2 linked regions of the Ovis aries genome follow. The protein of the gene in region 2 interacts with the protein of the main gene of each other region in a pairwise test. Links are inferred from orthologs where the notes say so. Each region holds a gene or a part of one and is shown on either strand. Other genes may lie near its edges.

Region 1 (12,226 bases), about 35 Mb from region 2:
CAGGGAATCTCAGTCAGGATCTTGAGCTAGGATTCCTACTCCTGACCTGAATGAAGGTCTCAGGGCTTCAGGAAAGAAAACCAGCGTCTGGGTCCTACCCCAGCTGAACAGACCGGATCCTCCAGTGGAGCTAGGCACAGGGTGTATATTGAAACTCCATGGTTCGGTGGCGGGGTCCTAACACGCATGCTCGTGGAGAAGCGCTGGCTGGACAATGAGCAGACGCTGACTGAGTTTTAGGTGGGAGCAGAGGCGTGCGGTGTGTACTCTGGAAAAATTCCCCAGGGCTGTCACAGAGAAGAGGGGAGGCGGCCAAGAGGCCTCAGGCACGAGGAAGAGGGGGAGGAGAACCTGAGGACCCTGGCCCTGGTGGGTGGGGTCTGTCCCCATGAGCCACTTGGAGAAGGAGCCAGAACAGAGTGTCAGTGAGGGGGATGGTGGAGATGGGAGGGAGGGCAGAGCAGGACGAGGAAGGAGCTCTTGAGATACGAAAGGAACAGCCGAGAGAAGAGACGGGGCCCTGGGCACCTCAGAGCCTCTTACCTTTGCCCTCAACTCTGCCGGGCAGGCCCCACCAGCAACGGCCTGCAGAAGGTGGACGTGCAGCTGATCCCGCAGGACCTGTGCAGCGAGGCCTACCGCTACCAGGTGACACCCCGCATGCTGTGTGCCGGCTACCGCAACGGCAAGAAGGATGCCTGCCAGGTGACTCCCGCGGAGTGTGCCAGGGGGTGGGGAGAGGGCACGGCTCTCATCACCCAGGGCCCGGCCCTCGGCTCACAGCAGCCTGCAGCAGCCTCATGGCAAGGTGGGCTTGGCTGTCCCTACCTTGTGGGTGAGGAAACTGAGGGTTGGGAGGTTGAGAGACTGCCTCCAGGTTGCAGACCCCAGATCAGAAGAGACCCAGGTGCCAGGTCTGAGACCCAACCCCAGTGCTGCTTCTTATCCTCTGAGAGGCACTTTGCCCAAGTGACCCAGCAGAGAGGACTAGACAGAGCCCACAGAATGGAGGCAGAGCTGGGCAGGGCATTGGGACACACATTCAAGCTTCCGTGACAGCCAGGCCCCGCTGGAGGCCAGGCTGGGTTGGTTCGGGCTTCCTCCATGTATCGGAGGCTTCCAAAGCAGTTCTCGTTTTCCTGCTGCCACTCTCAGAATATCCCCAGTAGTCCAGCCCTTTACCTGGAAGTGGATTCCTTTACCCTGACGTAGTCCTGTCTCTCCGCGCCTTACAGGGTGACTCAGGTGGCCCGCTGGTGTGCAAGGAGCCCAGTGGCCGTTGGTTCCTGGCAGGGCTTGTCAGCTGGGGTCTGGGCTGCGGCCGGCCCAACTATTTTGGCGTCTACACCCGCATCACTGGTGTGATAAGCTGGATCCAGCAGGTGCTGACTTGAGGAGCTGCCCCCCTGCAGAGCAGGGGCCTACCTCTTGGACTCAGAGAGCCCAGGGCACCCACTGGGGGGGTTGGGAGCAAGTATTCTGCAGGCAGCAGGGCCTGGAGGGGACAAGAGGTGGTGTCTTTCCTGTCCCCCAACCTAATGCCTGATATCAGCCTCAGTGAGGGTACAAGGAGGGAGGTGGGCCATTCGCTGGTGGTCCAGACCACCCCTGAGGGCCTGGGATGGTCACCAGTCCTGGATGGGGGGTTCTCATCCAGGCTGTCACCTCCTGATTCTCTCTTCTCCTCCCTGCTCCTCCGCTGCTGACTTTTGTGGGGAAGAGTTGAGCAGTGATCCTGTGGCTGCAAGGTCCTCCCGCCACCACCCCTGCCCCAGTGCAAAGGCTGTTGGGATGGCATCTTCTCCAGACAGCAGATTCCGGCCTTTGAAGCCCTCGGCCTAACTTGAGTGGTGGAGGAGGAAGGTGCTCCCACAGGAAGGGCCCTCACAGTCCTGGAGACAGCCAAGTGGGCCAGCCGCCACTGCAAGCCAAAGTGTGGGGAGCCCTGGGTCCAGGGTCCTCCCAACCCCACTTGCCCCTTGGGACTTCACTGACCATTCTCACCAGGAGGTGAGCTCAGCTGCCCTGTGGAATAAAGCCGTCTGACCCAAGGTCCTACTCTGGGGGTTGAATGGGGCCCCAGCACCAATCTCATGCCCTTGACTGAACAGACCCTTGCTGTCTGCTCAGCCTGTTGGCTAAGTGTCCAGAAGGCCAAGGCGGGGTCAGTGGGGGCAGGGCTGACCTCCAGGGCATTTGCCTAAATCCCAGGAGCCACCCTGGAAAGGCAGTGGTGGGGTGCCGTCAGGTCAGAGTTGGGCTTCCCAGGTGGCACTAGTGGTAAAGAATCCGCCTGCCAAGCAGGAGATGCAAGAGACACAGGTTCAACCTCTGGGTTGGGAAGATCCCCTGGAGTAGGAAATGGCACCCCACTTCAGTATTCTTGCCTGGAAACTCCCTTCGACAGTCCATTGTGCCACAAAGAGTCAGACGCACACAGGTCAGAGTCAGAGCTGGGACAAGTGCTGGGCTGCTTCTGGAAGCCTAGGAGGAAACTGAGGGACAAGGAGCCTCCTGATCCCACCAGGGAGGGGTCAGGAGTGGAGCCTGGGGCGGAAGCCCTGTCTCCTGATTCCCAGGCGACCACTTCTCTGTCTCAGCACTGCCTCTGCATTCTGTGTCTCTTATTCAGCACCTCACAGGCTCTGACCACGTGCCAAGTGCTGTAGTGGGGTCATGGAGCTCACAGAACTCGGCTCCTAATCTCGAGAGGGGTGGGATGGTGATCCAGTGTGAAGGGTTCTGGGGGAGGCAGCCAGTAACTCGGAAAGTCAGGGAGAGCTGCCTGGAGGAAACTTGAGTTGGGATTCAAAGGCAGCCAAAGGAGGGAAGAGCATTCCAGGCAGGGGAAGAGGATGTGCAAAGGCACAGAGTCCTCAAAGTCAGTGGCCTCTTAGGGAAAGTTGTTTTTAGTTTGGACAGAGGTTGGGGTTAGGGGCAAAGCAAAGGAATTCTTTGCAGAATTCCTTTGGGGAGGGGCAAACTGAGATGAGATGGCAAAGAACTTGGAGTGGAGCTAAAGATCTGATGCTGGGCACTCTGGGGAGCCAGGAAAGGTTCTAGAGCAGGAAGGTGACACACAAGTGGCTTAACATTTAGAACCAACATGGACATCAGCGTGGAGAAAATGGGAGGCAGGGAAGCTGGTGAGGAGGCTGCTGCAGAACTCAAGAAGGAGGAGGCCTGGACCAAGCAGGGCAGTGGGGATGGACACAGCATTGAAGGACCTTCATTATCCTCCAGGTGCATTGGTGGTGGGGGTAATCTGAGGACCTCTCCTGGCTGGGCTGGTGGAGGACCCATTGCCTGACCTGGGGCACCTGGGGAAGGAAAGGCTCTGGGAAGGTATCATGAACTTAGGGTGCCTCTAGGAGGGAGATGTCCAGGAGATAGGCAGAGCTTGAGAGAGGTTTGGAGGGGGGATTTTCCAGCCACCCTGCATGGAAGGTGGTCCAGGGAAGACCAAAGAGGTAGGGGAGACACACGCACTGTAGAAGTGGGGGCCCAGAGTAGGAGGCTGAGGGGTGGTGTGTCCAGTGGCTGGAGGGGAGCTGAGGGGTGGGGTCTTGGCAGCCAAGGCTGTGGCCTGAGTGGGAGTGATCAGGGAGGGCTGTGGGGTGGGCCCTGGTGGAGGGAAGGAGGGTGTCAAGCGCAGACACGTCTTCCTTGGAGCCTGAGTGGGAGGAAGAAGCAGCGGGGGCCTCAGCAGGGACCTAGTCTCCAGAGTTTTCAAAGGGAGACGAGGAGTGGCCGCCGAAGCCACGCGTGGGGAGCCCTCCACCTGCTGGGCGGCCCCTGTGGAGACGGAGCAGGTGGAGCAGCTGCTACGGGGGGGTCAGCTTTGGGGAGGGGACAGGACTACCCCAGGGGCCTCTCAAAGGGGGAGCAGAACACTGCCAGAGGGTGCTTTGCTGAAATGCAAACTCCTGGCCTTATCCTAGTCTTAGTGGAAATTGGGGTGGGGGTTGTAATCTGTTCTTTTAACAAGCCTCCTGGTGACCCTTTTGCGATACAGAAAGTGAAGTCAACTCCAGAGAGCCAGGTGGCCCCAAGGGAAGTGGTGAGGGCCCCCAGACCGTTGAGTGGGCTTGGGAGGGCCTCTGCTTAGGGGATCACGGCTTTGCAGAGATGTCCCCCCAAAACACCTGCAAAATAAACTGCTGGGGGGAGGGGAGGAGGGAGGCAAGGTAGACACTCAGTAGGACCAGCACATGGTGAAGGAATTGGCCAAGTTGGGTGGGGGTGGGCAGGGCTTTGTTGGACTCAGAAGATGGATGGGAGCCTGGGGTTTGTATTTCTCAGGACTTGGGACAGGGGGTGGAGGTGACCAGAAGGTATCATAGCGGGAAGCAGAGAGGACGTCCTGGGAGGTTAGGATGGAGCGGAGGTGGCAGGGCAAAGCCGGGGAGAAGAGGGCCAGCTGAACAGTGTGGTGAGGTAGGGAAACTCCAGGTGCCTGGAAGCCCAGCTCCCCAGCCCTCAGCATCCCAGCTAATCCACGTCTGCCTGGAGGCTGTGGGAGATTGAGTAACTCTGGGGGCAGGGCCTTAGAAGTCACCTCGTCCAACCCCTTGCTTTACCCGTGAAGAAACAGACCCAGAGAGGGGCAGATACTTTCCAAAGTTTACCCAGCAAGGCAGCGTTGGTACCCTGGACGCCCATCCACGAGACAGAGGATCCAGCCGTGATACTCCCCCTCAACACACACGGGAGAGGGACAACAGGCAGACCCCAGGACTTGGGGAAAAAGCCCCATTACCTTTGGACTGTATCCCACCTTAAGTTTAGCCCCTGATCCAAGGGACTTCCCTGATGACTCAGCAGGTGAAGAATCCACCTGCAATGCAGGAGACATGGGTTCAATCCCTGGGTCAGGAAGATCCCCTGGAAGAAGAAATGGCAACCCACTCCAGTATTCTTACCTGGAAAATCCCATGGACAGAGGCGGCTGGTGGACTCATCCACAGGGTCACGAGAATCAGACACAATTAAGTCCACAGAGCGCTGTCCCCAAATGTGGCCCAGAGAAAGGGAGGCAGCCAGGCTGGCTGTTTATTCAGGTTTTATTACACGATGGGGTTGGACACAACTGAGAAGCAAGTACCTGGCCCAGGAGCCCATAAACGCGAGAGGCCCCTCGCTCAGCCCCTGCCAGCCCCAGCCTCTCCCCTGGGTGGAGGAAGGACGGTCCCCTTTCCCTTGCCATCAGTTCCTGAGGGGCCCCACTGCCCCTGCTGAATCAGTGCCCGCTGCCCTCCTGGCCAGGCCACTCTGCGCCCAGCAGTACGGATGGCGGGGATGGGGTGGGCGTGGGGAGCAGCCAAGCTGAAGGCCAAGTCACCCACCCTCTCCTTCCGATATGGCCGACCCCCAGACCTTTCACCCCCACCAATCCCTGCATCTCTGTGCTGGGCCAGCCTGCGTTTTACACCCTCCCTGAGGGCCTTCAGGGCCCTCGCCCCTCTTGGTAACCTCACAAGGTTAGGGCAGGACGTGACCTGGGTGACACACAGCGAGACTAAGGCTCAAGGAGGTGACGTCACTGGGCTGGGGGGGAGCGTAGTATTTGCCATGCAGCTGGGGGCCCTGGGGGCAGGGACTTGGGGGCCTGGGAGACACAGCTGGACAACACCACACTTCGGCCACAGGCAGGCAGCTCTGCCCAGGGGTCCCAGGGCCCACCTCAGGGCTTGAGAGGTCCCCGCGGGCCCCCTCCCGGACCCCGGAGGCAGGGGTGAGTGACATCCCCTAGGGTGTAGACAGAGGTGACAGCGGGGAGATCTCTTCCTCTGCCTCAGGCCGGGGGCCCACCCCGTGGTACAAAAATAAAGGATTTCAGAACGGAACCCCAAGTCCCTGGAGGCGATCTGGGGCCTTACATCCGGGTGCCTCTGGCTTGTAACAGCTAGAAAATAAGAGGGGCAGGGGGACGGGGTGGGGGTGGTCAGAACACCGGGAGGGGAGGGGGGGTGGGGCCAGTGAGGAGACGGGAGTGCAGGGCCAGGAGAAGGGCAGAGGGGAGATCGAAATGGAGGGGGTGGGCGGGTGGGGGAGACAGGGAGAGAGAGAGAGTTAGGTGAGTCACGAGGTCCTTTCTGCGAGGAAGGAGGGCTGAGGCCCAGAAAAGGTGGATTCAGAGCTGAGGAGGAGGGGATACAGGAAGGCGACCCGGCTTGCTGGTCTGCTGGGAACCCCACGCCCCATCTTGGGCTGGGTGGTGGCCTCCTAGGAGTCCATATTCTGCCAAGACTCTGGCTGGGGGAGTGAAAGTCAAGAGAGGCTGGTCACCAGTGTCTCAGGCAAGAGGTCACAGAGAACAGCTGTCAGTCCCATTTTAGAGAACTGTGGCCCGGAGAGGGACAGTGACTTGCCCAAGGCCACAGCAGGTAGATAAGATGGAGTGGGGGTTTGTGGGCTCCTGGCCAGGGCTGCTTCTGCCACAGCCCAATCCTTAGCCAGCTCCTGCTGACTCTCCCAAGGCCACAGGCATCCAAGTGTGGCCTGTCCTTCCAAGCCCCGCAGAAACCGGGGACCCAGTGCCCCGAGGCTGTGATTAGGAGTCCTGGGCATCAGGGGTGAGGTCTGGGCACCTGGCTTCCGTCTCCCTTCCCTCCTTCCCAGCGTGGCTCTGATGCTGATGGGCAGGTGGGAGAGAATTTCCTCCCCCTCTTGTCTGCTCTCAGAGCCTCACACCCAAGGCCAAGATAGGCTGAGAAACTTGGGTGAGGGGAGAAACTCAGCCGGAAGTGCGGCTCAAGTTCCAGAAATAAGAGATGAGCACCCTTCTGGCTTCTGCCCCTCCCTCCAGCTCCGCCAGGCTACGAACCAGGCATGGCAGCTCTGGGGGCAGGCGAGGGGCCCAGGGGAGGCCCTCCCTGCAAGCACCACCTCAGGTCTGAGGGGGTGCCGCCAGAAACCTGCAAGGAGGAAACGTGAGGAGAACGTGAAGCGCTGGAGCAGTGCCTCAGACGTGGCCGGCAGGGGGCGCTGAGGAGGTGCAGCTGCTCCCCTCCCCACCGGCCCGGGAGGCAGGAGGTGCCAGAAGGGGTGCAGGAGGCGGCAGGCAGGGTGCTCTGGGATGCGGGGCCGGGGCGCCTGGGTGGAGGGCGCAGGAGGCTGGGACCAGGACAGCCCCGGGATGGAGGTGTGAGCAGGCAGAGAGAAAACCCGGACAGGGGCAGAGAGGGAAGAGGCAGGGTGTAGGTGAGATCCAGGAGGAAGAGGTGGATGAAGATGAGGCAGGACCTCCGGCGGGGAGCGGAGGAGGAGGAGGCGGTGGTGGGAGGGAGAAAAGGTTAGCGGGATCCTGAGATGACTGGGCTGCAAAGAGAAAGTGAGAGAAGGGATGGTTATGCAGGTGAGGCGCCAGGCATGCGGCTGAGCTAACCCTGGTGGGCCCGCCCGACCCCCGGCCGCCCCCGGGACCCCAGGCTCTGCAGCTGGCTCCAGCAGGGAGCGGGCGGGAGGCGCCGGCTTCTACTAGCAATCATTCTCCTCGGGGGTTGGCTGCACCTTTCTCCTGCGTATCTGCCTCCACCTGCACCTCCTGCTCCTGCTGCTGCTCCAGCTGCTCCTCCGCGCTCTGTGAACCAGCCGGCGGACCCAGGGAAGAAAGAGCGCAGAACTGACCGGGGGACCGGGGCCTGCTGGCGGCTGGCCCCGAGGGCCCCCGTCTCAGGGTGAAGGGGAGGGGCAAGAGAAGGAGGACCTTCAGGGGAGGGGAGCGCTACAGCCACAGAAGCCGGGGCATCGTGTCCCTCCCAGGAAGCCTGGGGAGGGGCCCGGGGTAACCAGCGGGAGGGTGGAGACCTGCTGAGGATGCTGGCCGCTGCCGCTGTGACAGTGGTGGAGACGAAGAGGGTGGGTGTGTGGCTGGGGTATCCTTGAGGGGTGCCTGGGAAGGCCTCATTTTAGAAGGACCAACCCAGAGTACATATGAGGCCAGGGAAGGCCCACAGCAGACACCAGCCAGATCTGAGATGCCAGCACTGGCTCTGACATCCCAGATCCTGAGGTCTCTCCCAGAGAGGCAGGAGCAGCCAGCTCACCCTGCACCCCTGCAAGGCCACGTCAGCCACTGGCCCCGCTGGGGGTGGGGTGGGCACGGGAAGTCACAGCACAGGAAGGCAGACAAACAGACGGGAAGCAGAGTTCCTAAGTCTTCAACACACAGGGACAGGCTTCTAGAAGGAACGCTCTCCTTTCTTCCCAGCCTGGCTGCTGCCTGCCCTGCTGGTTCCACCCTGGACTCCTGAGGCTTCTGACCAACTCAGGGTCTGGGGTGATAGGACCTTCGATCAACCCCCTCCCTGCAGCCAGCTGAGGCTGCCTCACAGGCCAGGATGGCAACACAGGGTTGGACCCTGAGGGCTCCAGACCCCTCTGCTGCTGAGTCCTATGTGGGGAGCCTGCAGAAGGGGCAGAATGAACAGATTCAGCTTCCCTGCCCCAGCCCTGGTCCCCAGGAACTAAACTGGCCCCTTGGATCGCAGAAGTTCCAAGCTGGTGGTCCACCCCCTCACTTCTCTGAGAATACAACCAAGGTGCACAGAGAGGATGCGACCTGTCCAAGGTCACACAGAGCACTCACACCACGCCCAGACCCCTAGCCCAGTGCATTCTCCCGGTGCCATGCTGCCCCGTGGCCGCCATGTGCCCACCATCCAAGTAACATCTAAGTCCACTCTGGTCACACCCTGGGGCTAATCTCCTCTCACTGTCCCTGGAGCCTGGGCCTGGGCAACTGGCGTGGGCAGACAGGACCATGGGTGGCATGGGATGGATGGCATCAGCTGTGATCAGGGCGTCAGGCGTGTGTAGCAGGAGGGAGAAAGAAGAAGCACAGATGGCCAGGCGGAGGGCAGCAAGGGGAGGGAGGGAAGGCAGGGAGGCTGAGGTCGGGCGGGGGGCTCACCTTGGTTTTGCGGCTGGACTCGGAGCTCAGCCCATGTGGAGAGCTGTAGAGCTCCTTGGACACCACACACAGGAACTCTGCCTGGTCCTCACTGCCATAGTTGTAGGAGGAGCCGATGTTCACCAGCTGGAGGGACGGCGCGTGGGGAGAAAATGACTGGTCAGGTGGGGTGGGGGGCAGGGGTGGGCAAACATTGGCACTTGTCAAGATACTGACTGTGCCCTATCTTGCTGCTCCATTCAGGCCCATCCCCCTGGCTTTCCAGAGGACACCTCTGGCCCAAAGTCAGAGTCCTCTCCACCTCCCCAGCCTATGCCTCTGGTCAATTTCCAGGGCCAGCCTCCCCACATGGCTTGGCCGGGCCTGATCCTTAGGGGAAGGCAGTTATCATTGCTGTTTCTCCCCCACTCGGCCTAGTCCCAGATCTAGCAGGCCACTTCCAGAAGCAGGCAGAGATCTGTAACAGGCAGACTGTGCTCCTGTGTCCTGGGTGTGGCTGAAGCAGCCCCAGAACCAAGTCGCGGGATGGGGTCCACATGACCTGGTGGAGCACCATAGAATATTCTGTTTGCTCTTGGAAATAGAGGTAGACCAGATCACCTGTTCCTTAGGCCAGTGGTGCCTGGCATGTTTGCTCAGCCTCTAGGAGCCCATGCAATTGCGACTCTCACCTAGAGAGCAGAGGAAAGCAGCCCCACTTTTGGTCTGGGATCCCTAAAATAACTACATCTGAAGGCCCCTCCTGGCTGATAAAAGCTCTGCACATGGTGGGTCTCATTCAGCCCCCAGGGACCCTCATCCTGCAGACAGAGGAAAAACCAGCCAGCCCCTTTAGCAGATGAGGCCTTGAGGGATGGTTTGTCCCACAACCAGAATGAGTGGAACAGGATTTGAATCCAGGACCCTGAGTCCTCTCTGGAATCCTACAGAGTCAAATGCTTCTAATAATTCATAGGATGCTAGCTAGCTTCACTGTTTTGAGGCCTACCCTGGGCTAGAGACTTGATCCATGGTCTTTCTAATCTACACAATGTTCTGGCAAAAGAAGCACTACTGGCCCATGTCACAGATTGGGAAACTGAGGCCAAGAGAGAGATGACCTGCTCAAGGTCACAGAGCACATCAGTGGTGAAGCCTAGATGTGAATCCAGGCTTCCAGTTCCTGGACTGGCCTTGTTCTTCCCCCCAGGCCTGGCCATCCTGGGGAGCCTGGCCTTCCTCTCCTTTCTTCAACCTCCAGGTGTGAGGGAGCTTGTGTGGATAAAAGGCAGTGCAACCCTTCTCTTCTTAAGGGCCAATCTGACCTTGGGTTGGCTTGCTGGCTCTGATCCTCTGGAAACCTGAGAGAGGTGTGACGTCAACTGGATTACTAGGGCAACCTGTTTATGATAAAAATCTCTCCTGGCTGGTAAACTGCATCAGCACTGGAAGGAAATGCAGGTCATCGTGAATACCTCAGGGGAGGCTGCCGCTCTGTGCTTCTGAAGGCGGCCATGCTTGGAACTGGGCATGTCCCTTGTGGGGACCTGGAATCTATGCCTGTGGAGTTGCTACAAGAGGTGTGGCCCCCAGGAGACCTCCGTTCTCCTCTACGGTTCTTGTCTCCTCTCATCAGAACTGTCGCTTGGGGGGGCAGAGACTCACACACTTCGGTGTAAATGCTACCCAGCTCCTGGGAGGCTTTGCCAGAGCTGCCTGTGGCCCGTGGGGCTTCCTTTGTCTCTCCTTCCCAATCAATCTGCTGCCAAGTGTGGCCTTTCTTAATCTTGTTTGTTTGCCTTAAGAAGACTCCTGGGTAGGGGCTGCAGTGGGGAACCCCAAGGCTGGGGCTGCAGGAAGAGAGGAGCTTGCTTTGCCTGGACATGTGGCTCCTGCGTGCTCCACCCACCTGCTCAAAGCGCCAGCCATCAGACATGGTGGAGACCATCTGCGTCAGCTCCTCCTCCTGGCACTGCAGCACGCGGTACACGTGCTTGGGTGGGACCTATGGGCAGAGGGCGATGTGGAGGGCACCTTGTGGGAGTGCCCAGCATCCCGGGATGGGAGAGCCCCTGCTCTTCACTTACCCTCTACCCCTAAGAAGGACAGAAGGAGGGGATGGAGTTGGGGTGGTAAGCCAGAAGTCACATTCTGAGTAATTGCGATGTGCCAGGCACTCAACATGCGTGATTTCACTTAATCCCACCTAAAACCCTAGGAAGGTTCATGGAAGCTCTGAGAGGGTTGGTTACTGGCCCAAGGTCACCCAGCTAAAGAGTTGCAGGACCAGAATTGGGACACAGGTGATACAAGGGGTAAGGAAGAAGGGCTTAGGAGGCATCCTGGGCCACTAACTGAGGCAGGTCCTCCAGGAGACAGAGCACCCCCTCTTCAAGCTCCTGGGGAGAGAAGGACAGTGGAAGACAGTGCCTCCCTACCCATCTCTCATCTTCTACCTCTCCCCCAGGGTGGGCAGAGAAGTCCACCAGCTCCTCCTGCAGACTGGCCACTTAGGTCCAGGGTCCAAGCTCAGACATGCCAGCTCCAGGGGGCCACTTGAGCCCATGAAATGGATGGTGTACTAATCCCCATTGCCCCTACAAGGACCCCTGTACCCTCATACTGACTCCATATTGCCTGTGAGGAAGGGAAGGGTGGGCAGTTCTCAGTACCTCTATATGCCCCAAAAGGAAATCAGGATCCAGAGAGTGAAGTGACTGGCCCAAGGTCACACAGCAGAGCCAAGGCAAGGACAGAACCTGATACATGTCTCCCAGTCTGGGGCTTTGCGGGGCGATCTGGGAGCTGGACAACCCCTTACAGGGCAGCTCGGCCTTCCCAAGAAAACCTAGTTCTGTCTCTCCTGACCTCCCTTCTCCCCACTCCCCACCACCCCCTGCTCTGGCCATGGATGCTGCCCCGCTGCCCCCTGACCTGTGTGACGGTGTAATCCTTTTCCTCCATCCGGTCTTTGATGATGCGGATCAGCGGGCCAATGTTGTAGAATTCCGCTTCCTCCAGGACCCCTGACACAGAGCAGCACCCACATCACTCCCACTGCCCCCATGCCCCATTCTCGCCTTGTCCCCTCCATCCCCACCCCCTGCTCATCACACTAGGGTGACGAGCCTCTCTGAGTTCAGGGGTCAGGCAAGAGGGAACACTCCCTTCTTGGGGACTCACACTCTCTATAGCAGGGCTAAGAGGCACCATCTCCCTGGTGTGCTGAGCACAGCGACCTGGGACACCTACCAGTCCCCCCGTCTGGGGCTAACCAGAGGCAGCAGGCCCATGGGACTGGACCCTAGAAGGCCACAGTGAGAGGGGCCTTGG
Region 2 (12,226 bases):
TCCATTGAGTCAGTGATGCCATCCAACCATCTCATCCTCTGTCATCCCCTTCTCCTCCTGCCCTCAATAATTTATACTAATGATGTAGAATCAGTAAGTGACATCCTTAAAGAGTAAACTGCACATTTACCGGACTAAAAACATTCTAAGATGACTTTTTGTTTTAGGGAAACAAATACACAAATGAAGTAGGGGGACATCAAGGTCTTATTTGTTGCTTATCTGATTATTTGCTGTGGTATGGAGCTTCACAGGCTGATACTTTGACTATTTCCAGGCCTTTATCAACTGGATCATTCTAGTCCTAAAATCTGCATCTGTGAGCCTTATCTAGGAATTACTGCTCTGTTGTATCATATGGCAGCTCCTCGCCTCTGTAATTTTGTTCCTTTTTAATACGATGTGCCATAGAGTATAATGCATGGGATATAAGCCTCAATTATTGTCAATGTACTTGGCGACTCATACCAATTATAGTGATATTTCTCTGACAGGCTCCAGGAGAGCTGCAGCTTGGAGTTCCTTAATACTGAGAAACAAAGATATTTTCTTTATGGAAAGTATTCTAATAGCATTTGGAATTCTTTAGTTTAAAATTTCTTTTTTAATTTAGTTGTGGCAATTTATGTGCTTTACAGCACATGCATTTAATTTATATTGTCATAATATTAATACATTTTAGAATATACTAATTACAATGAAACTTGTTTCTGTATAACCCAGCCAGGTGGAGGAGATGCTATTTCAAAACAGATTCACCAAGCAAAAATATGAGCCTTTGTTACTTTCTTTGGCTCTTTACCTAGCTTCCTTCATTACATATCTCCTCTGCTCTCTGACTCTTCAATTATCTTCTTTCTGTCACCTCTTTATTTTTCTCTTACTGGAGTCAATTCAAAATGATTTGATTCTCTTTGAAACTTTTTACAAATATAAGAAAAAGAATCCTATCTGACCTAATTTCCACAGACTTCTTTTGCCTTCTAACTCTAGATCGACAGTTTTGGCCTCTTCAATGTTCCCTCCCAACACCTGAAGAAAGAACATTGCTCTTTAACTTGCACTGTTTTATTTGAATGCAACCCACTTCCTCCCTCTGAGCCAATGAGTCATTTTCTCTTTTTAAAGTGAGCCTTAAAAATCTTCCATTTCTCTTCAGCTTAAAATTATTCTTTTTGTGAAGTACTTCATGTCCTGTGTATGAAAGACACCACATAACACAGAGATTGCCCTAACCATTCAAGGACTACAGACTTTGCATGACATATCAAGACTTGAAAATTTAAATTAAATGGACATCATGTATTTTGTTTTTCCCTAATGGAGGCAAGGCAGATAGTCTCCTTTGTTCACTAGTGAATTCCCAGAATCTTGTTACATAGTATATTTTCAATAAATATATATTGAATGAATAAATAATTTCTCTCGCCCCAGTCATTTTAACATGCTTGGACTTTCCTGGTGGTCCAGTGGTTAGGACTCCACACATCCACTGCAGGGGGCTCAGGTTCAGTCCCTTGTTAGGGCGCCAAGACCCCACATGCCTCAAGGTGAGGCCAAAAAGAATGACCAAACCAAAAAATAACCATGTGCTTAAAACCTTTCATGTAGTTAAAACTTTTCACACTGGAATCTCTTGTAATTAAGTAGAAAATAAAAATGGTACTGAAAAGTGAGAGCTATATCAAACTGCAGAAGATGCAGCAATAATCTTAGGATGAGTTCAGAAAATGCCTAAAGAGAGATACATTCATTTCAGAACAATTTTCAGAATTTACAATATTATATCAAATATCTTCTCATATATATCAATGATTGATTTATCTGCTAACAAGTGACATACTGACTCAGTTTTAAAGTAACAGAACTTTGTACTGCAGCCATCACAGTAATAACTGATTTAAACAGAATCTCCAATAGGGACTTCTCTGGTGGTCCAGTGGCTAGGACTCTGTGCTCTTAACTCAGAGAGCCTGGGTTTGATCTCTGATTAAGGAACCAGATCCCATATGTTGCAACTAAGAGCTCACACGCCCAGTGAAGATGGAAGATCCTGTGTGCCTCAACTAAGAGCCAGTGCAGCCAATCAATCAATAAATAATTAAAAACAAAAGAATCTCCAATAGATGCTAAAATCAATGGGTGCAAAACATGACACTTATGTAAGTCACAAAGTATCACCCCAGAAATTACTTATTAATTACCAAGGGGAAAAGGTTTTTTACAATGGAGAAATCTGGTGAACACATGTTAATAACATGATCAAACTTAACATTAGTAATAATGGGACAAACTGAAAGAGTGTGCCTCTTGATATGATATATGGAAAAGTGATATATAACATCACTTTTATAGTTTTCCTGCCAAATGTGTTTAACGTTTTAAATAATGAGAAAAAAATAAACTCCACATTGAGAGACATTCTGAAAAACAATTGGCCTGTGCTCTTCAAAAATGTCACATGCTCCCAATGCAGGCAGCATGGACTTGATGACCCTGTGTACCGCATGGTGCAACAAAAACATCAATGTCACAAAAAACAAAGGTTGAGGAGTTGTTCTGATTAATGGAAACTAAAGAGACATGACAAGTACATGGAATGCATGTTCCTTCAAACTATACAGGCTATTATTGGAACAACTGGAGACACTTGAACATAACTGTACATTAGACAACTAGTACACCAGTATTAAATTAGCACCCTGACTGTGCTAATTATGTTGTAGTTATGTACAGGAATGTTCTTCTTCTTAGAAGAGATATGCTGAAATTTAAGAAGTGAGGTGTCATGATGTCTGCAAATAATTCTCAATAATTCAGGGAAAAAAACTCTCAAAGGTTTCACAGAACATATACATACATATATAAGCCTGTGTACGTATGCAGTATATAGAGAGATTTTACATACACATGCACACACACAAACACATATGTTAACAACTGATGAACCTAGGCAAATGATATTACTTGTGTATTTATTGTGCTAGTCTTGCAACTTTTCTCTGGCTAAAAATTATTATAAATAAAAAGCCATTGAAAAGATCTTTAAAAAAGCAATACATAGATTCAGGGTTATTTGGATTGCTTATCCAGATACATACTGCTCAAAATTTTTGATGGTGGCAACTAACCTTTCTTAGAATTCTGTTTCACTAGACTACTTTCACTCTCCTTATCTTTCTATTCACTGCCATCTTTCAAGAATAGTCATCAATATGTAAGTTATGTGCACAATACGTCAACAAAAAATGAATATTTCTAACATGGACTAGCATGGACTGAAATTCTGTTTCCTCAAATAGGAGACTTCTCTCCTAGGACTTCTTACAAATATACCCCATGTATATCCTGTAAAGAGCCTGCTTTTCTGTTTTCAGGCTAAAAGCTTATCGGTGCAACAAAAACCATTCATGTATTTTTGGTGAGAGAAGTCTCCACATCACTTCCTGCACATAATAAATGTCACCTCCCCCCCTGTAAGAAACCATTCATGTATCTTGTATATAAGTTTTTATTTCCAAGATTTTTTTTATTGTTCTCCAATATCCTTTAAATCTTAGACAAAAAAAACCCCAAATATCTCTGAAAATAGTTAAAATATTGCTTTGTTTTACAAAGAACTAGAGACAAATAGATCTGGATACCAAATAAGTGATATTTGCAATTATGAAGTGATATGCACCGTGTAAAACATGATTTGTGACAGATTTGTGCCCATATCAAGACTGATAATTTTGGAATTATTTCCTATTCTACACTCTAAACCCTTTTTTTCCCCCACTTTAACGCTTCTAATATTAACTTTTGTGAAATACAAAAGCAGAATATTGGGGCTTACGTCATAGTTGCTCCTGGGTCAGCAGTCATTTGATTGGTCACAAACACAGCTACATTATATTCTGCATCAAGAAATAAAATTAAGAAACTAAGAGAATGGCAATATAAATATTAAAAGTTTATTGCTTAGATTTCAGAGTTTAGAAACACTGTGCCATGAATTTCTTTGATAAACAAGATTACATTCCTGTTTTTTCACTGTTAACACAAAGTTATTGTTATATTATTTAGGTACCTTATTGTTTTAGAATCAGTATTTCTGGTTTTAAAAAAGTGTTGTATCCCCATGAAGGAAATTTTATCTTTTAAAAAACAGATTGTCTCCTGACATTATTCTGAGCTTCTCTGCAAAGCTTATTCAGCAAATAGTCACAGATGCTATTCTAATATCACCGTTTATTTTAAACATCTACCTTCTGAGATTTTTTGGAGTCGTGACAACATCTGGGCCAGTTTTTGCTGCCGTTCAGCCAACTCCCCACGACCGCTGAAATCCACTCGGAAAAGTGCCATTATTGAATCAATGATCTGTGCAAAATTAATGTAAAAATAAATAATGCATTTGGAAATGGAAGTTAATTTGAACTAAAATCAACAGAAGAAAGATAATATGCTAAATAGCTGCAGATTGAACAGTATTGAAAAGCTTGTACCAGCAGCTTAAAGATGCCAGCTTCTTCATGGAACTTTGCTGCTACATAATCAAGTAGCTCCATCTGATGTTCACCTGATGGGAAATGCAGTGGGAAAATGTTATAAAAGCTAGAAGCAGCGGAGACTAAGATCATGTTTGTCCTTGGAACTCAGCAAAAGAGAACCCCTGAAGGATTTCTTTTTTTTTTTTTTAGGATTTCTTAATTATTACTTTATTAAATATGGTAGCATACATACCAAATGATACCTTATCCAAAAGAATGTTACTCTCCATTTCAAAGACAAAGAATAAGAAATAATTTGAGAGCATTTCAATGTCTAAGGACTTAGATAATAAAATCTGTGGACTGACTAAATAAATCTGGAGAAAAGTAAAATAGAAAGAGAAAAGAATAATGTTAAAATAAAGTATCGTTCAAATAATACATCAATGCTGCCAATCTTAAAACAGCCTAAGCATCCAATTGCATGGGGTTCTTACTAGTATATGCACGTGCATAAAGTACATTGTCCAGAACTGCATTATGGTCTACATTGAAGCGATCAGCAATGTCCCGAAGGCGATCTGGACGGCTGGAGTATGCCAGATTAAGGATTCAATAAATCAATTCCAAAAAGTTTAGACAACAACTACAAACAATAATGCTCTAAGTAAATGAGAGGCAAAACGCTCTACCTGCATAGGTATTCTGAGGATGCTAATAATCACCTAAAATCTATATCAGACTTTATTTTACCTAAGTGCCTTAATTAGGTAGTAATAACAGTGATAGAAATAATGAGACAGTAATGAATTTAAATATTAAATTATCTAATCTAAACAACAACCTTGGAAGTGAGTTGTTATGGCCTATATTACATTTTACAAATAAGGACATTGACAGAGATTAGGCAAATGACTCAGAGGTAAGCAGCAAATCAGTTATAAGAGAAAAACTAGAAATTAAGATTTGTGAACCTTTTTTGTTCTCAGTTCTATAAAAATAGATCTCTTCTATGAAGATAATATCACTGAATTATAATTCAAGTCACTTCAAAGTGAATTAATTCACTCATGTTCCTCACTTGTTCAACACGCAACAGTTTAATATACCACTAATCACATGTTGCCAATAAATGATAAATTTGACTACATGAACCAAAGGATCAAAAAAGTCACTTTAAGGGTACATACAGAAAGGAATTATCATCATATAGTTTTTCATTTATTTTGGGTTTAAAATCCACTTTCTTCTAAAGGAGTTGTAATAGCATTCTGAAATTAGTAAATTCATAGAGGGGACAAATTCGGTGTACCTGGAAAGGTATTCTGGAAGATGTTAATATTCACTTATATCTATCTAGACTATAAAGAGTATCAATAAACATCTTTTTAGGTCTTTGGTGATCCCAATATTTTCTAAAATGACATAAGATAAAATGCATGTCCATGGACTCATTTCACTTTGTTTACAGTATCTGTGTTAATACTGATCATACTATGCTGTGCTGTACTTAGTCGCTCAGTCATGTCTGACTCTTTGTAACTCCATGGACTGCAGCCTGCCAGCCTCCTCTGTTCATGCGGATTCTCCAGGCAAGAATACTGGAGTGGGTTGCCATGCCCTCCTCCAGGGGATCTTTCCAACTCAGGGATCAAACCCAGGTCTCCTGCATTACACACAGTTTCTTTACCGTCTGAGCCACTAGGGAAGCCCAAAAATCCTGGAGTGGGCAGCTTATCCCTTCTCCAGGGGACCTTTCCTACCCAGAGATCGAACTGTGGTCTCCTGCATTCTAGGTAGATTCTTTACCAGGTGAGCTACCAGGGAAGTATAAACCAGGGACCATTTATAACCTTATTTGTTGACACTTGGAACTAGTCCAGTAAATGCTGAACTGTCTTTAGCATTTCCCAGTCATGCTGCTGCTGCTGCTGCTGCTGCTAAGTCGCTTCAGTCGTGTCCGACTCTGTGTGATCCCATAGACGGCAGCCCGCCAGGCTCCCCTGTCCCTGGGATTCTCCAGGCAAGAACACTGGAGTGGGTTGCCATTTCCTTCTCCTATGCATGAAAGTGAAAAGTGAAAGTGAAGTCGCTCAGTTGTGTCCGACCCTCAGTGACCCCATGGACTGTAGCCTTCCAGGCTCCTCCATCCATGGGATTTTCCAGACAAGAGTACTGGAGTGGGGTGCCATTGCCTTCTCCATCCCAGTCATCCTACAGCACTATATATGTTTTCTTCAGAGCTACAGTGACAGCCACTAAAATCTTCTACTGCTGCTGAGTATACTCAGATGTTACTGATAGACAAGTCAAAGAAGACAAGGAATTGAAAGAGATAAATAAATTTTTTTCACTATGTCAGTTTTTATAAAACCAGGTAACTATATAATCAGGAATGTAAAGTTGGGCTTACACTAAAAGGAAGTTCAAGCCAATTTACAAATGTTTTTTAGCAGATCAGCAAATGGAATTACCAGCATATTAACCAATTACCAGTGCAAGGCACTATGGAGGATTTAAGGAGTCATAAGATAATTTATGCCATAAGTAAGTGTAAAATATAATTATGTAGGCAAAATATAAGCACATAAAAAGAAAAATATCAAGATAGAGCAGTATACATGCAAGAGACACTGAAAGAATGAGAACATTTCACTTGCGCCCTTGCACATCCTTGTTCCCCTGCATTCCCTCTTACACATGGCTCTTAGCTGTTTCTACCATTCTGGATAAAATCCAAATTGCCAAATAGTAGCAGATATTCTTCAAGAACAATTCCTCCCTCTCAAAGAACCATATTTAATCAACTATTTCTGAAACTAGCTGAACTCCAGCTGAGCAATTCTTGCTTCAGTCCTATTGTTAAAAGCAATGTCTTCTGAGCCTGATAGCTCCTCAAACTATCGTTATTTCTTCTTCTATTTATTGGTTAATTACACACTACATCAATTCCTTACTGTTTATTTGCAACAAGTTTCCATCATCTTTCTTTACTGCAAATGGTCTCTTGGACTCCTAATTGCAAATCTCAGTGATCTTTCTCAGTTTACACCCTCTCTCTGTATGGAACCCCTTTTCTTTTTAAAAAATATTTTTTTTGGCTTCATGATGTCCTAGTTGTGGCAGGCAGGTTCTTTTGTTGTGGCGAGGGCTTAGTTGCCCAGGACATGTGGGATCTTAGTTCTCTGACCAGGGATGGAACCCACATCCTCTGCCTTGAAAGGCAGATTCTTAACCACTGGACCACTGGGGAAGTCCCAATCCTTTTTTGAAACTTTCCTTATGCTTGGCATCCACCACCAGATTACTTCATCTATCCCCTCTTCCTAGACATACGCATGCCCCAAAGTTATGCTCTCCATTCTCTTTCTGTAAACTCTCTTGCTTTTCCCTGGCCATCCCATCCATATCAAGCTGAGTCCAACATTTTCAACTGCCATATGAATGTCTTTCTGTACCTCATACTCAACATATTAAAATGAAACATCATTTTTTCCTTTGAAACATGAGCTTCTGAATTCCGTCATCATTACTCTGAGTATGTAGACAAACCTATGAATGGTTTCCCAAACCTCTCTTCCCTTTGTCGATCAAGTACAGTCATCAAATCTCATTATTTGCCTAGAATACTGCAAAAGTATCCAATTTACACCCATCATCCAGCTTTAGGGCCCTTCATGTCTAAGAGCCACATTTCCAGCCTTGCATTCTGAAATAACTTGATACTTCAACAAAACTGCAATTCTTTTTGTTACCCAAATAGATTCTTTTCTTTTTCCTTTCGTATTTTTTTTCAGTTCAGACCTTTCCTTTATTTGAGACCATGACTTTAAATGAGTCAACAATCTTCTAATTATTAATCTAAATCTTCGGAGAAGTAGGAGGATTAAAAAACAAATAAGATATAATTTCCTCTCATGTATTTGTTTTGTTAATTTTATACCAAACCCATTTGGAGAAGTGAAACCTTTTTAAATAAAACATGATTTGATCATAGAAAAAAAAGCATGGTTACCAAAAAGGAAAAAGCAGTGGGGAGGGATAAATTAGGAGTTTGGAATTAACATATATATGCTATATAAAACAACAAGGACCTACTGCCTACTGTATAGCACAGGGAACTATATTCAGTATTTTATAATAACCTATAAGGGAAAAGAATCTGAAAAAGAACATATATATATACATATATATATACACACACACACACACACACACACACACACACACATATGGGCTTCCCTGGTGGCTCAGACAGTAAAGAATCTGTCTAGGTTTGATCCCTGGGTTGGGAAAACCCCTGAAGAAGGGAATGGCTACCCACTCCAGTATTCTTGCCTGGAAAACTCCATGGACAGAGGAGCCTGGCAGGCTACAGTCCATGGAATCACAAAGAATCGGACACAACTAAGTGATTAACACACACACATGTATACATATGTATGTATATGGGCTTCCCTGGTGGCTCAGAGGTAAAGAATCCATTTGCTAATGTGGGATATGCAAGTTCGATCCCTGGGCTGGAAAGATCCCCTGGTAAAGGAAATGGCAAGCCACTCCAGGATTCTTACCTGGGAAAGCCCATGGGCATAGGAGCCTGGTGGGCTATAAACCATGGGGTCACAAGAGTTGGACACAACTTAGTGACTAAACAATCACAACAATATACATGTGTGTATATATACGTGTGTGTGTGTGTATACCTATATATATATAACTGCGTCACTTTCCTGTATACCTGAAACTAACATGACATTGTAAATCAACTCTATGTCAATAAGAATAAATACACAATTCTTAAAAAGATTTAAGAGGGAAAAAGTGATTTGAGAACTCAACTAGCAACTGTTTTCCCTTGGTTTTTTTTCATTATTATTGGTTTACAGGATAGTTATAAAAATGACACATTTCAAACAAATTCTCTTTTATAGTAATAGTACTATATCACACTATTATGTTTGCAATTTGCATAAATAAAAGGGTTACAAAGTATTTTCTGTATCGATGAAAATAATCTTTCCTCCTGAGTAGCCACCTGCTCCTGGAAGTTGAGCTGTCACTAGGAAGCAATTAAAAATTAATTAATATTAACAAGAGTGAATAAACTCTGTACAAATGGATATACAAACTAACATGGGATTTATTCTGGTTGCAACTCTCTAGCCATCTAGCAAATAATAGTTCTAAATAGCATGTTATATTTTTATATTACTAACCAGTGGCAAAATTATAAGTATTCTTCCAGCATAACAATAATTCAGCAAAGAATGTTAGTATCTTTCACAATGGGAGATATTCATGAAATTTAGTTCTCCTAAAGAACTGAAGTAGAATAACAAGGTCCTAATGTATAGCACAGGAAACTATATTTAATATCCTGCAATAAACCATAACAGAAAAGAAGATATATATGTGCATAAATGAGTCACTTTGCTGTACAGCAGAGATTGGCACAACATAATAAATCAACCATATTTTGATAAAAATTTTTTTTAAAAAGAACAGAGGGAGAATTTAAATATTACTTTCCTCCTATAAGAAATAATCACAAATACAATTTATGCTATGCAACTCATTTAAGTAACTTTTCAATTAATGTATGCATTAATTTTAAATGTATTTTCTTTATATGTAGTATTAACACTAAGGAATTATTTTGCATTAAGCACACACATTATTTCATTTATTTTTCAAAACAATCCTAAAATGGCTCTATCACTATTCCTATTTTACTGATGGGAAAAATCTGAAAGGTGAAGCAACTTAACCAAGGTCATGCAGCTATTAAGGGTAGACCTATTTGTATTCCAGAATCCCCTTACTAAACACTTAACCATGTTCCTTCTAATTAGGTCTAAGAAATGCAATACAATGACTTTATGTAAAAGGAGATATTTTTGCTTATTTTAAGTCTTTTTTAGTTCCACCCTTACTCTATGGAAAGTAAGGAATTCTAAAGCCTCAATAGATTCTGTGATATTCTTATAAACATATATACAAAAGACAGAATAAGAAAAACCGAGGCCATGAACAAATACCTCTCTCCACCAATACATTCATATATCCATTTACCTCCTCCCTGTTTCCATTCAGTCGTTCAGAGTGCGGTACATGCAACATGACCTCATGTATCACACATTTACAGACCAGCTCTGGTATTTGTATAACCGTGGAGAGTTAAGTAATCTCTCTGAGTTTTAGTTTCCTTGCAAGTTTGTTCAGATTACATGAGATTATATATCCTTACCACAGAGGGTATGAGAGAGTTGGGTTTTTCCAGTTCGAAATTCTGTGAAACATAGGGAAAAAAATAGTTAATAGTTAGATTATTTTCATAAAGACTAGATATGGTCTCAGAGTATGGTTTCCTTTTCCAACTGTCAATCTCACACACGAAGTGCCTCTATGTCATGAATGGATTCTGCATATATGAATACCAGTAATAAAAAGAACTTTTTAAAGGTTTTCTTTTTCAGAACTGTCCTTTAGATGATAGTAAAACCCAAATTTTTCTTAGGAATAATCATATAAATGAAAGTGTAAGGCTCCACCACAGGAAAGAGACCCTGGAGTTTTCCCACTGATCAGAGTGAGTGAGTGAGTGAAGTCGCTCAGTTGTGTCCGACTCTTTGTGATCCCATGCTTCTCTGTCCATGGGATTCTCCAGGCAAGAATACTGGAGTGGGTTGCCATTTCCTTCTCCAGGGGATCTGCCCAACCCAGGGATCGAACCCAGGTCTCCCACATTGCAGGCAGAAGCTTTAACCTCTGAGCCAGACTTGCCTCCAACCTCAAATTGGTGGTATCTCCTAGCTACCAACAAAAGCAAATACTCTCTAGAGAAAAACATCCCCACTATACCAATTTAGGCCTATTGAACTTCAACAGATTAAAATCAAGAAATATGTTCACAAATATCAATAAACACACAAGAAGGGAAGTCATTCAAATGGGTTTCCCAGGTGGCTCAGTGCTAAAGAATCTGCTTGCAATGCAGGAAACGCAGTTCAATCCCTGGCTGGGGAAGATCCCTCGGAGAAGGAAATGGTAATCATTCCAGTATTCTTGCCTGCAAACGCCCAAGGACAGAGGAGCCTGGAGAGTTATATAGTCCTTGGGGTTGCAAAGAGTCGGACATGATTTAGCGACCAAACAACAAGCCATTAAGACTGGAAGTCAACAGAAATAAACAAAGATTTATTTCTCCAAGTCAGCAGAAACATCAACACTGAACAAACAAACAAAAAAACAGATTTGGTTCTCTCAGGACTGAAAATAATGGAACTGTCAGGAGCAGTACATAAAATAGCTATGCATGGATTTCTTTTTTCTTTTTGGCTGCACCAAGAGGCTTGTGGGATTATAGTTCCCCAAGCAGGGATCAAACTCAGCCCCTAGCAGTGAGAATGCAGTCCTGACCTCTGGACTGCCAGGGAATTTCCAACTTTTTTTTAAATAGAGGATACAACAAAAAGAAAAATCTATTCTCTGTGTTCCTGAAATATGCATTTCTTAAAAATATTAATAAGATCAGTCTCATTATACAACTACTTTCTGAAGGTATGAGAGGAAAAAATTTTCTTCTATAGGAATCAGAGATGAAAAGATGAAAAATGTCAATAAAACTCATCCGTTGATGTTGGAAAATATTTTAATTGTAGCCCAGAAAGATCTTGCATTATGATAACTGATATTTCATCATAAGTTCCAAAATAGATATAATTTATCATTGATATGGCTGTGTATACATA

The links.
Region 1: the proteins of DMC1 (region 2) and KCTD17 interact in binary tests that used the Homo sapiens proteins (3 or more experiments, as listed by UniProt). The two-hybrid records come from large-scale screens. The link is inferred for Ovis aries from reciprocal best matches to the Homo sapiens genes DMC1 and KCTD17.

The regions. Positions count from the first base shown.
Region 1 is NC_056056.1:181,106,601-181,118,826, reverse strand, and holds the end of KCTD17 (BTB/POZ domain-containing protein KCTD17), read right to left. Parts: intron 11,920-12,226; coding exon 11,828-11,919; intron 10,899-11,827; coding exon 10,803-10,898; intron 9,041-10,802; coding exon 8,915-9,040; intron 8,409-8,914; coding exon of another isoform or gene 8,331-8,408; exon of another isoform or gene 7,589-8,330; intron 7,583-7,588; coding exon 7,513-7,582; intron 7,321-7,512; coding exon of another isoform or gene 6,965-7,320; exon of another isoform or gene 6,004-6,964; intron 5,906-6,003; coding exon 5,526-5,905; 3' UTR 5,016-5,525; downstream 1-5,015. Other genes in the region: TMPRSS6 (transmembrane protease serine 6), read left to right, coding at 569-705, 1,236-1,394. UniProt on the Homo sapiens protein: Substrate-adapter for CUL3-RING ubiquitin ligase complexes which mediates the ubiquitination and subsequent proteasomal degradation of TCHP, a protein involved in ciliogenesis down-regulation.
Region 2 is NC_056056.1:216,034,154-216,046,379, forward strand, and holds part of DMC1 (meiotic recombination protein DMC1/LIM15 homolog), read right to left. Parts: intron 10,765-12,226; coding exon 10,723-10,764; intron 9,535-10,722; coding exon 9,462-9,534; intron 5,065-9,461; coding exon 4,973-5,064; intron 4,565-4,972; coding exon 4,491-4,564; intron 4,366-4,490; coding exon 4,251-4,365; intron 3,900-4,250; coding exon 3,839-3,899; intron 1-3,838. UniProt on the Homo sapiens protein: Participates in meiotic recombination, specifically in homologous strand assimilation, which is required for the resolution of meiotic double-strand breaks.